Linked DNA regions of Macaca mulatta. The protein of the gene in region 1 purifies or fractionates together with the protein of each later gene. This does not show direct contact. Links are inferred from orthologs where the notes say so. Each region holds a gene or a part of one and is shown on either strand. Other genes may lie near its edges.

Evidence for each region.
Region 2: the proteins of RANBP9 (region 1) and RMND5A purify together in Homo sapiens (affinity purification with mass spectrometry; 9 studies listed by BioGRID and IntAct, counting the BioPlex papers as one, with this or other methods). This does not show direct contact. The link is inferred for Macaca mulatta from reciprocal best matches to the Homo sapiens genes RANBP9 and RMND5A.

Annotation. Positions count from the first base shown.
Region 1 is NC_133409.1:169,401,086-169,405,395, forward strand, and holds the start of RANBP9 (ran-binding protein 9), read left to right. Parts: upstream 1-1,228; 5' UTR 1,229-1,558; coding exon 1,559-2,138; intron 2,139-4,310. UniProt on the Homo sapiens protein: May act as scaffolding protein, and as adapter protein to couple membrane receptors to intracellular signaling pathways. Acts as a mediator of cell spreading and actin cytoskeleton rearrangement.
Region 2 is NC_133418.1:26,269,307-26,273,117, reverse strand, and holds part of RMND5A (E3 ubiquitin-protein transferase RMND5A), read left to right. Parts: intron 1-93; coding exon 94-260; intron 261-1,243; coding exon 1,244-1,409; intron 1,410-3,811.

The DNA.
Region 1 (4,310 bases):
GGTAACTGAGGGAGAAATTAGGCCGAATGACTGTTATTTGTTCTGGCCAGATAATGTTGGCCTTAAATTAAATCACCTTTGGCCTACCTTCTTCAAAACGAAATAATTTTCTCTTCGGCAAAACATTTATTTGACCAAATGATTACCATCGTATCTTTGGAAGCAAACAAAATATCAGAATTTACATCATATAATTTACACATGCAAAGCCCGATTTTGCCAGCTAGGGAGGGATACGCTAAACAAAGGGAAGTGGTGAAAACAAAGTAGTAATGTTATGATGGGTCAGAGAGCAACACTTGGCAAGTTGTGCCAAATTAGTCGACGAAGCACTCTATTGGGAATTGCAAAGTAGGAAGTCCTATTTTTGACTCTGCTGACCTCAGTAAATATTTCCTTGTTTTAAAAATGGGCATAATTTTCTGTTACCTAAGAACAGTTATGAAAATTAACGAGTCTATAAAATGTTCTGACGTCTCTAGAAGCCCTTCCTAAACACACACTATAATTGTGTATTCATACAGTGCCTGCTCCTGGTATTTGAAGATATGCCGGTTTTTATTAATGACACCTTCTACCACTAAGTTCACTGTGAGTCCTCGTAAAATTAATTAATGAAATAGCCACTATTTTAACTGGGAGACTGCCTTCAGAAGTGGTTTCCCCTGCCCATATGGTCAATGTTACGAAATTAAACACTGTGAAGTACCAAAGGCAGTGCGTTCCTCTTTGGAGGGAGGCGGCAAACGGGAACCGGACTGAGAAGAGAGCTAGCGGCAGTGCGCGGGGAGCCTCAGCCGCTCCGCACGCCCCGAGCCGACGGGTCCTAGAGCGACCCGGGGCCCGGGCTCGCGGCGGCCCCAGCGGGGCTCGATTACTCTCGCCTGGGCGAGAAGCGGCGTCTCGGCTCGGAGGAGCCCTACGGTGGGGAGGTGGGGCGACGACAACAAAAAGAAGTCAAGTGGGAGGGGATTCGCCGGCGAGGGGGGAGACGGCGGCCGCCTAGCGGGAGGAGGCGGACATCTCCGAAGGGACCTGCGGCGCCGGGAGCCCAGCGATCCTGCCCACGAGCGACTGGCGGGTCCGGGAGGGCGCCTCGCGGCGTGCAGCCGGGAGCCCCGCGGCCCGCCCCTCGCGCAGCTCGCGCCTCTCTCGCGCCTCCGTCCCGCCCCCTCGCCTAGCACCGCCCGCGCGCAGCGTCTCGCGCCGGCCGGGCCCGCCCGCCGGGAAACAGCCGCGAGAGCAGCGGCCGCGGCGGCCGCCAGCGCGCCTTCCCCTCCCGCGCTACCGCGTCGCCCCCGCCCTCGGCACCTCGTCCCCGGGCCGCGCGCCCGCGCTCCGGCCAACGTTCTCTCCCGGCCTCCCGGGCCCGCCGCCCACTCCCGCGTCTCCGAGCCCCTCAACCGCCGCGGTCTCCCTGGGCGCGCGGCCCGCCGCCTGCTTCCGGGGCGGGCGGACTGGGCGCCTGGTGCCGGCGGCCGCAGCGACAGCGCCCCCGGGAAGCAGAGGAGGAAGGAGAGAAGAGGTGGAGGTGGCCGCAGGCTGAGTCGCGGCCGGGATGTCCGGGCAGCCGCCGCCGCCGCCGCCGCCGCAGCAGCAGCAGCAACAACAGCAGCAGCAGTTGTCGCCGCCACCGCCGGCGGCCTTGGCTCCAGTGTCCGGAGTCGTCCTGCCGGCGCCCCCGGCCGTCAGCGCCGGCTCCTCTCCAGCCGGCTCGCCCGGCGGCGGCGCGGGCGGCGACGGCTTAGGGGCCGCGGCGGCCGCCCTGCTCCTCCACCCCCCGCCGCCGCCGCCCCCGGCCACCGCGGCCCCGCCGCCCCCGCCGCCGCCCCCGCCGCCACCTGCCTCAGCGGCCGCCCCCGCCAGCGGGCCCCCAGCGCCTCCGGGCCTCGCCGCGGGCCCCGGCCCGGCCGGAGGCGCCCCGGCCCCAGCTCTGGTGGCGGGCAGCAGCGCCGCGGCCCCCTTCCCGCACGGGGACTCGACCCTGAACGAGCAGGAGAAGGAGCTGCAGCGGCGGCTGAAGCGCCTCTACCCAGCCGTGGACGAGCAGGAGACGCCGCTGCCTCGGTCCTGGAGCCCGAAGGACAAGTTCAGCTACATCGGCCTCTCTCAGAACAACCTGCGGGTGCACTACAAAGGTACTGGGCTTGTGTCCTGCCGTGGGAGTGGGGCACTGACCCGACGTGGCCGGCCACCGCTGCGCCGCTCTCGACCCGCCCCCGACCTCCCCCGACCCCCGCCCTCGCGGGCTCTGCCCTCGGAGGCCACTCGCCGCTTGTTGTGCTGCTCCGGGTGGGCGCGGGGGTCGCGGTGAAGGATCCGAGGGTGAGGGGCGAGATTCTTGGAAGAGGAGGGTGAGTAGAATGCTCCAGGGTAGGAAGGAGCTGGTAATCTTAGGCCAGGAGCAGGACACCTTGAGGGAATCCGGGATGACAGGACAGAACTGGCTTTCTGATTTCCCTGGGAGATAAATCTTGGGGCTTGGGTAGAGGAATCCATGGACTCGGAGTTGGGTTACATTGTTCTCCAGGTGGTGGGTCAGGCGTTCTCCTCTTACAAGGAGGGAAGAGAGGCACGATTCTGAGGTATGATTTCTAATTAAGAGAGAGCAGGGATACGCAGGGGGAGGAGTAATCAAAATTAGGCCAGAGATTGTCTAGGGGGACTAAAGGACAAGGGACCCAAGTTTGCCATCAGTATATCTTAGTGAAAGCAACCGGGAGGGTAAGAGAAGGGAACCCCAGGAGCACCATTTTTCTTAGGGGAGCAGAAACCTACCTCTCCCGATTGGAAGTACTCTATACAGGTCCTTAGGTGTTGATGTTATATGAAGCCTTGTTGAAAACGAAGATGGAACAAAATGCAGCTTAGTATTTTGAAGAAAATTGGCTTATGTTTTCCACCTGCAGTTAAAAACAACAACCTTAGGTTTGTGCTTGCCCCCTTCCTTCCTCACCTACCTCTCCTAGGTTAAAACAAAGCTTGAAGCAAATCAGTTGTATATAAAATTATGAATTGCTATGGGAACTATTGAAATGTGGCCCAATTTAATAGCGTGTATCAAGTTTACTTGTGTGGAAGAAAAAAAAAAATCAATCTAACGTATCAGTCTGTCTGGAAACAAATCCAGGGTTTTAGGCCCCAAATCTAAAGCAGGAGCTTTTTACATTCACGGCAGCCTCACTTTGATTGGCTACAAAGGGGTCTGCTCAGATCCTAGTGACATGTATGTAGAGGGGATAAACAACCTTGTGGTTAAATTCTTATATGGGACTAAAATTTAAGAAGAAGCTTGATAAGTAAGTTACTATTTAACCAGAAAGGCGAATGGCAATACAAATCTACCAAATGATTTGGCTGCAAAGAATCACGCACAAAAATAGGCCTTGAACATTTTTTAATTCTTGCATACATCCAAAGAAGTACTTCTAAGTGTTATCTTCCTTAATCTAAACGTCTAAACATTTCATTCACAATATCAAATCTTTGTTTTATCTTAAGTTAGGACATTTTGTTAATTTCCTTGTGAAATATTTCTACTTTTATGTTTTAATTTGTGTGAACGGTGCTATGTTATGAAGTGTTTACTTCTGATCTGGCTGCCAGAAAGCTATTGTTAGATGTGACAGAATTTTATAATTTTAAATTTATGGTTGACAGTAATTTGCTCATAAAATCAGAGCCAGTATAGATGAACAAAGAATCCTAGATTTCCTGAGTTCTGCAGTCGTTTGTGGTTGTGGATATTTTACAAGACTGGGCCTCAGTTTCTTCCTCTGAGTGATGTGTAAGTTGAGCTGGAAGATTGGTAGGGAAATTTACAGCTCTGAATTTCCGTGATGTCTACGATTCGTGATTACTGTTTATTTAGTACTGTAAGGTGTCTTGATTAGTTTTAGTCTTTTACATAAGATTCATGATTTAGGTCAGAGAAAAATATATGTTTATGTGAAATTAGTTGGAGTTTGAAATATTTCTGACACTGCTACATTCCTGACACTGCTGTCTCAATTGTTTTTATTCTTGGCCTCTTTATTACTTTCTGTTGTGTAATACTAAGATTCACTTTCTGGGAACATAACTTTTATAAACATAAATCATTATTTCTTCCAGAACAGATTTTGTTCTTCCAGAAATTTTGTTATCCTTTTTATTTTCTTTCCCTTTCTTCTGTCTTCCTTTTGTCTCTCCCTTACCCCTTGTCAGAAAGTCTTTTTCTCTTTCTACTGCCTCTTCCTCTTGTCTTGTTACTGTAGATTGTGTGTGTGTGTGTGTGTGTGTGTGTTTTCTGTTGTTACTGTTGATTTTCT
Region 2 (3,811 bases), on another chromosome or scaffold:
TAAACTGTTTGTTTACTGCGTTTCAAATAGTTTTTAAGACACATTGCTTATGCTTTTGATTATTCTTAAAGTTTTTTTTTGCCTTTTCTTTAGGTGGGCAGTATCAAACCGGGAAATGCTTATAGCTCAAAACAGCTCCTTGGAATTTAAGCTACACAGACTGTACTTTATTAGCTTGTTAATGGGTGGAACCACAAATCAACGAGAGGCATTACAGTATGCTAAAAATTTTCAGCCATTTGCCCTGAATCATCAAAAAGGTGAGTCTGGAGTCAGATGTTATTAATGTTTGAAACAGGGCTATAGCCACCACTATAACTTAACGGTTCTTATTTGTTTGTTTTGTTTTTTGTTTTTGTTTTTTGTTTTTGAGACGCAGTCTCGCTCTGTCCCCGAGGCTGGAGTGCCGTGGCGCGATCTCGGCTCACTGCAAGCTCCACCTCCCGGGTTCACGCCATTCTCCTGCCTCAGCCTCCCGAGTAGCTGGGACTATAGGTGCCCGCCACCATGCCTGGCTAATTTTTTGTATTTTTAGTAGAGATGGGGTTTCACTGTGTCAGCCAGGATGGTCTGGATCTCCTGACCTCATGATCCACCCGCCTCAGCCTCCCAAAGTGCTGTGATTACAGGCGTGAGTCGCCGCGCCCAGCCCAACTTAATGGTTCTTATCTAGAGCTAATACATGTTTGCCAGTAAACAGTTGTAGTTGATAATCACAGGAAAAGCTCTGACTGGCTCTAGAACAAAAACAAAAATATTAAAGCCTCTTAGAAGTCAGAGATGTTGCAGATTTTGGAATTCCATATTAAACTGAGAGGAGATCTGAGAAAGAGCAAGGTGTGCACTTGCTCTCGTCTACCCCAACCTGGCTGTGTGCTGCTTGTTTTGCCACAACAAAGTGTCAGAGAGCCAAGGCAGCAAATGTTAACCCCACGTATTTGTGTAGGAATACATTAACTCTGCAATCAGAGATAATGTGATGACATAATTGTTACTCCTGTAGGTAATGGTAATTATACTATGCTGTATATAAGAATTTAAATTATAAGTTCAGTATTTTCACTCCTTTCCTTTTCTCTCCATGCTGTTTAAGATGAAGGAAGAAACCCAGCTTAAGGACCAGAATTTTAAAGACCTGTTAATACATTATTTTAGGCTGTATCAGTATGGGTGGGGGTATTCTTGCTTTTCGCAGCTTATTACTGCAAGCAAACTAATGCTTTCTTGCTGGTACTTTTTTTAGACATTCAGGTTTTGATGGGAAGCCTTGTGTACCTGAGACAAGGGATTGAGAACTCACCGTATGTTCACCTACTTGATGCAAACCAGTGGGCTGATATCTGTGACATCTTTACACGGGATGCTTGTGCCCTCCTGGGGCTCTCCGTGGAGTCCCCTCTCAGTGTCAGGTATGGAAATTGGCCCTGTCTGTTATTGAAGTATGCACTGCATTAGTCACCTCCCCTTAACTTGTTTGGTTCTTGATATTTAAAGCCAAAAGAACTTTTGTCTTTCTGAAGAAGAGTGCAATTGGTATTTCAAAAGATATCACAATTGGCAGTAACTCTGTTTTAGAGAAGCAGTTTTGAAAGTGTGGTGTGTGAACCTCACAGGATCCTGAGAGCCTTTTCCACTGTATTGATATTAGTACAGATGGTCCAGAAACAGTGGTGGATTAAACTGCTAGAGCCTTTACACAAGTCGGGGCGGTGGTACAAATTCCACAGATACTTGCTGGATTCCTCACCACCACACCCTTGCAGTTTAAGAAATGCTAGTTTTACTTAACCACACCTGTAATCCCAGCATTTTGGGAGGCCAAGGAGGGCAGATCACGAGGTCAGGAGTTCAAGACCAGCCTGACCAATAGAGTGAAACCCTGTCTCTACTAAAAACACAAAAAATTCGCCAGACGTGGTGGTAGGTGCCTTTAATCCCAGCTAGTTGGGAGACCGAGGCAGAAGAATTGCTTGAACCCAGGAGGTGGAGGTTGCTGTGAGCCGAGATTGCGCCATTGCATTCCAACCCATGCAACAGTGCGAGACTGTGTCTCAATTAAAAGAAAGAAAGAAAGAAAGAATATTCTCGACCTGGTGTGGTAGCTCACATCTGTAATTCCAGCACTTTGGGAGGCTGAGGTGGAGGGAATCTCTTGAGGCCAGGAATTAGAGACCCACCTGGGCAACACAGCTAGACTCTATTTCTCCAAAATGCTTTTTAAAAAACGGATGTTCTTGATGAAACATTAAAATTATTAGTTTTATTACATCTTGACTTTTCGGTACACATCATCTTAATAATTTGACAAAATAGGAAATCCACATAAAGCACTTCAGTTTCTTGTCGAAGTATGGTAATTTTCTTGAGAAAAAGCATATTGTTTTGAGTTATAAGCTAGCTAGTCACTTTTTATCATGGAATACTTTTTTTGTTTCTTGTTTTTTTTCTTTTGTTCGTTTGTTTTTTTTTGAGACGGAGTCCCCTGGCTGGAGTGCAGTGGTGCAGTCTCAGCTCACTACAGCCTCCACCTCTTGGGTTCAAGCAATTGTCCTGCCTCAGCCTCTGGAGTAGCTGGGATTACAGGTACCTGCCACCATGCCCAACTAATTTTTGTATTTTTAGTAGAGACGAGGTTTCATCATGTTGGCCAGGCTGGTCTCGAATTCCTGACCTCAGGCGATCCACCGCCTCGGCCTCGGCCTCCCAAGGTACTGGGATTACAGGTGTGAGCCACCACACCAGCCATGGAATAGGTTTTACTTGAAAGAATCATTAACACAGTTACCCACACTCAGGTCTTTGGCAGTCTTTTTTTTTTTTTTTTTTTTTTTAATCTTTTTTCTTAAATTTTTCAGAGACAGAGTCTTGCTGTGTTGTTCAGGTTGGACTCAAACTCCTGGGCTCAAGTGATTCTTCTGCCTCAGGCTCCTGAGTAGCTGGGACTACAGTTGTGTGCCACATCACCCAGCCATGTTTTTAAGTGAATGAAGCAAGCCTGTCACATTTGAAAGGTCTTAAGTATGATCCTACAAAAGCATGCATGAGTAAAAGAGTCATTCAAAGTACAAGACAGACAAATGGATTTTAATGTAGCAGGGTACAAAAAGTTTAATGGTAAAGTTTCAGATTTTGCTCTGCAACCAACCTTTAGAAAACTACTACCAGTTTTGGCCAGAACTGAAAAGTCAGTTTTGGTGTGGTATTGAGGAGGAGTTTCCACAGTGATCCAAAGCGATCAAAGTAGTGCTACACATATGTGTGAAACAAGGTTTTTTTTTTTCATTTATCTCAACCAGAAGAACATACCACAATAGATGTAATGCAGAGTAAGCTATAATAATCTAGCTGTCTTCTGTCAAGGTAGGCATTCAGGAGATTTGTAAAAGTGTGAAACAGTGCCACTCTTCTCACAAATATATTTTTGTTTTGGAAACTAGTTTTTTTTTTTTTTTTTACAAGAATGTTGTTTTTAATAATGGCATGGTATTTTATTTTTACATGGACTAATCGCAACTTTTATGTTTCTCGTTTTAATTTCTAATGCATTAAAGATATAACCCACAAAAAGAAAAGCTCTTTGAGATCCTTAATATTTAAGCATATAAAGGGGTCCTGAAACCAAAACATTTTAAGAACCTGTTTTAAGAAAATAACTTAATTCCACAAATGTTTTGTATATTTGCTATGTGCGAGGCACTGTGGGCACTGTGTTGGATATAAGATGAATAAGGTGTATTCCGCAGGGTTCTCCATCCTAGCATAGGAGCAGACAGATGCAATTAGCTATAATGTGAGGCATTGTTGCCGTCAG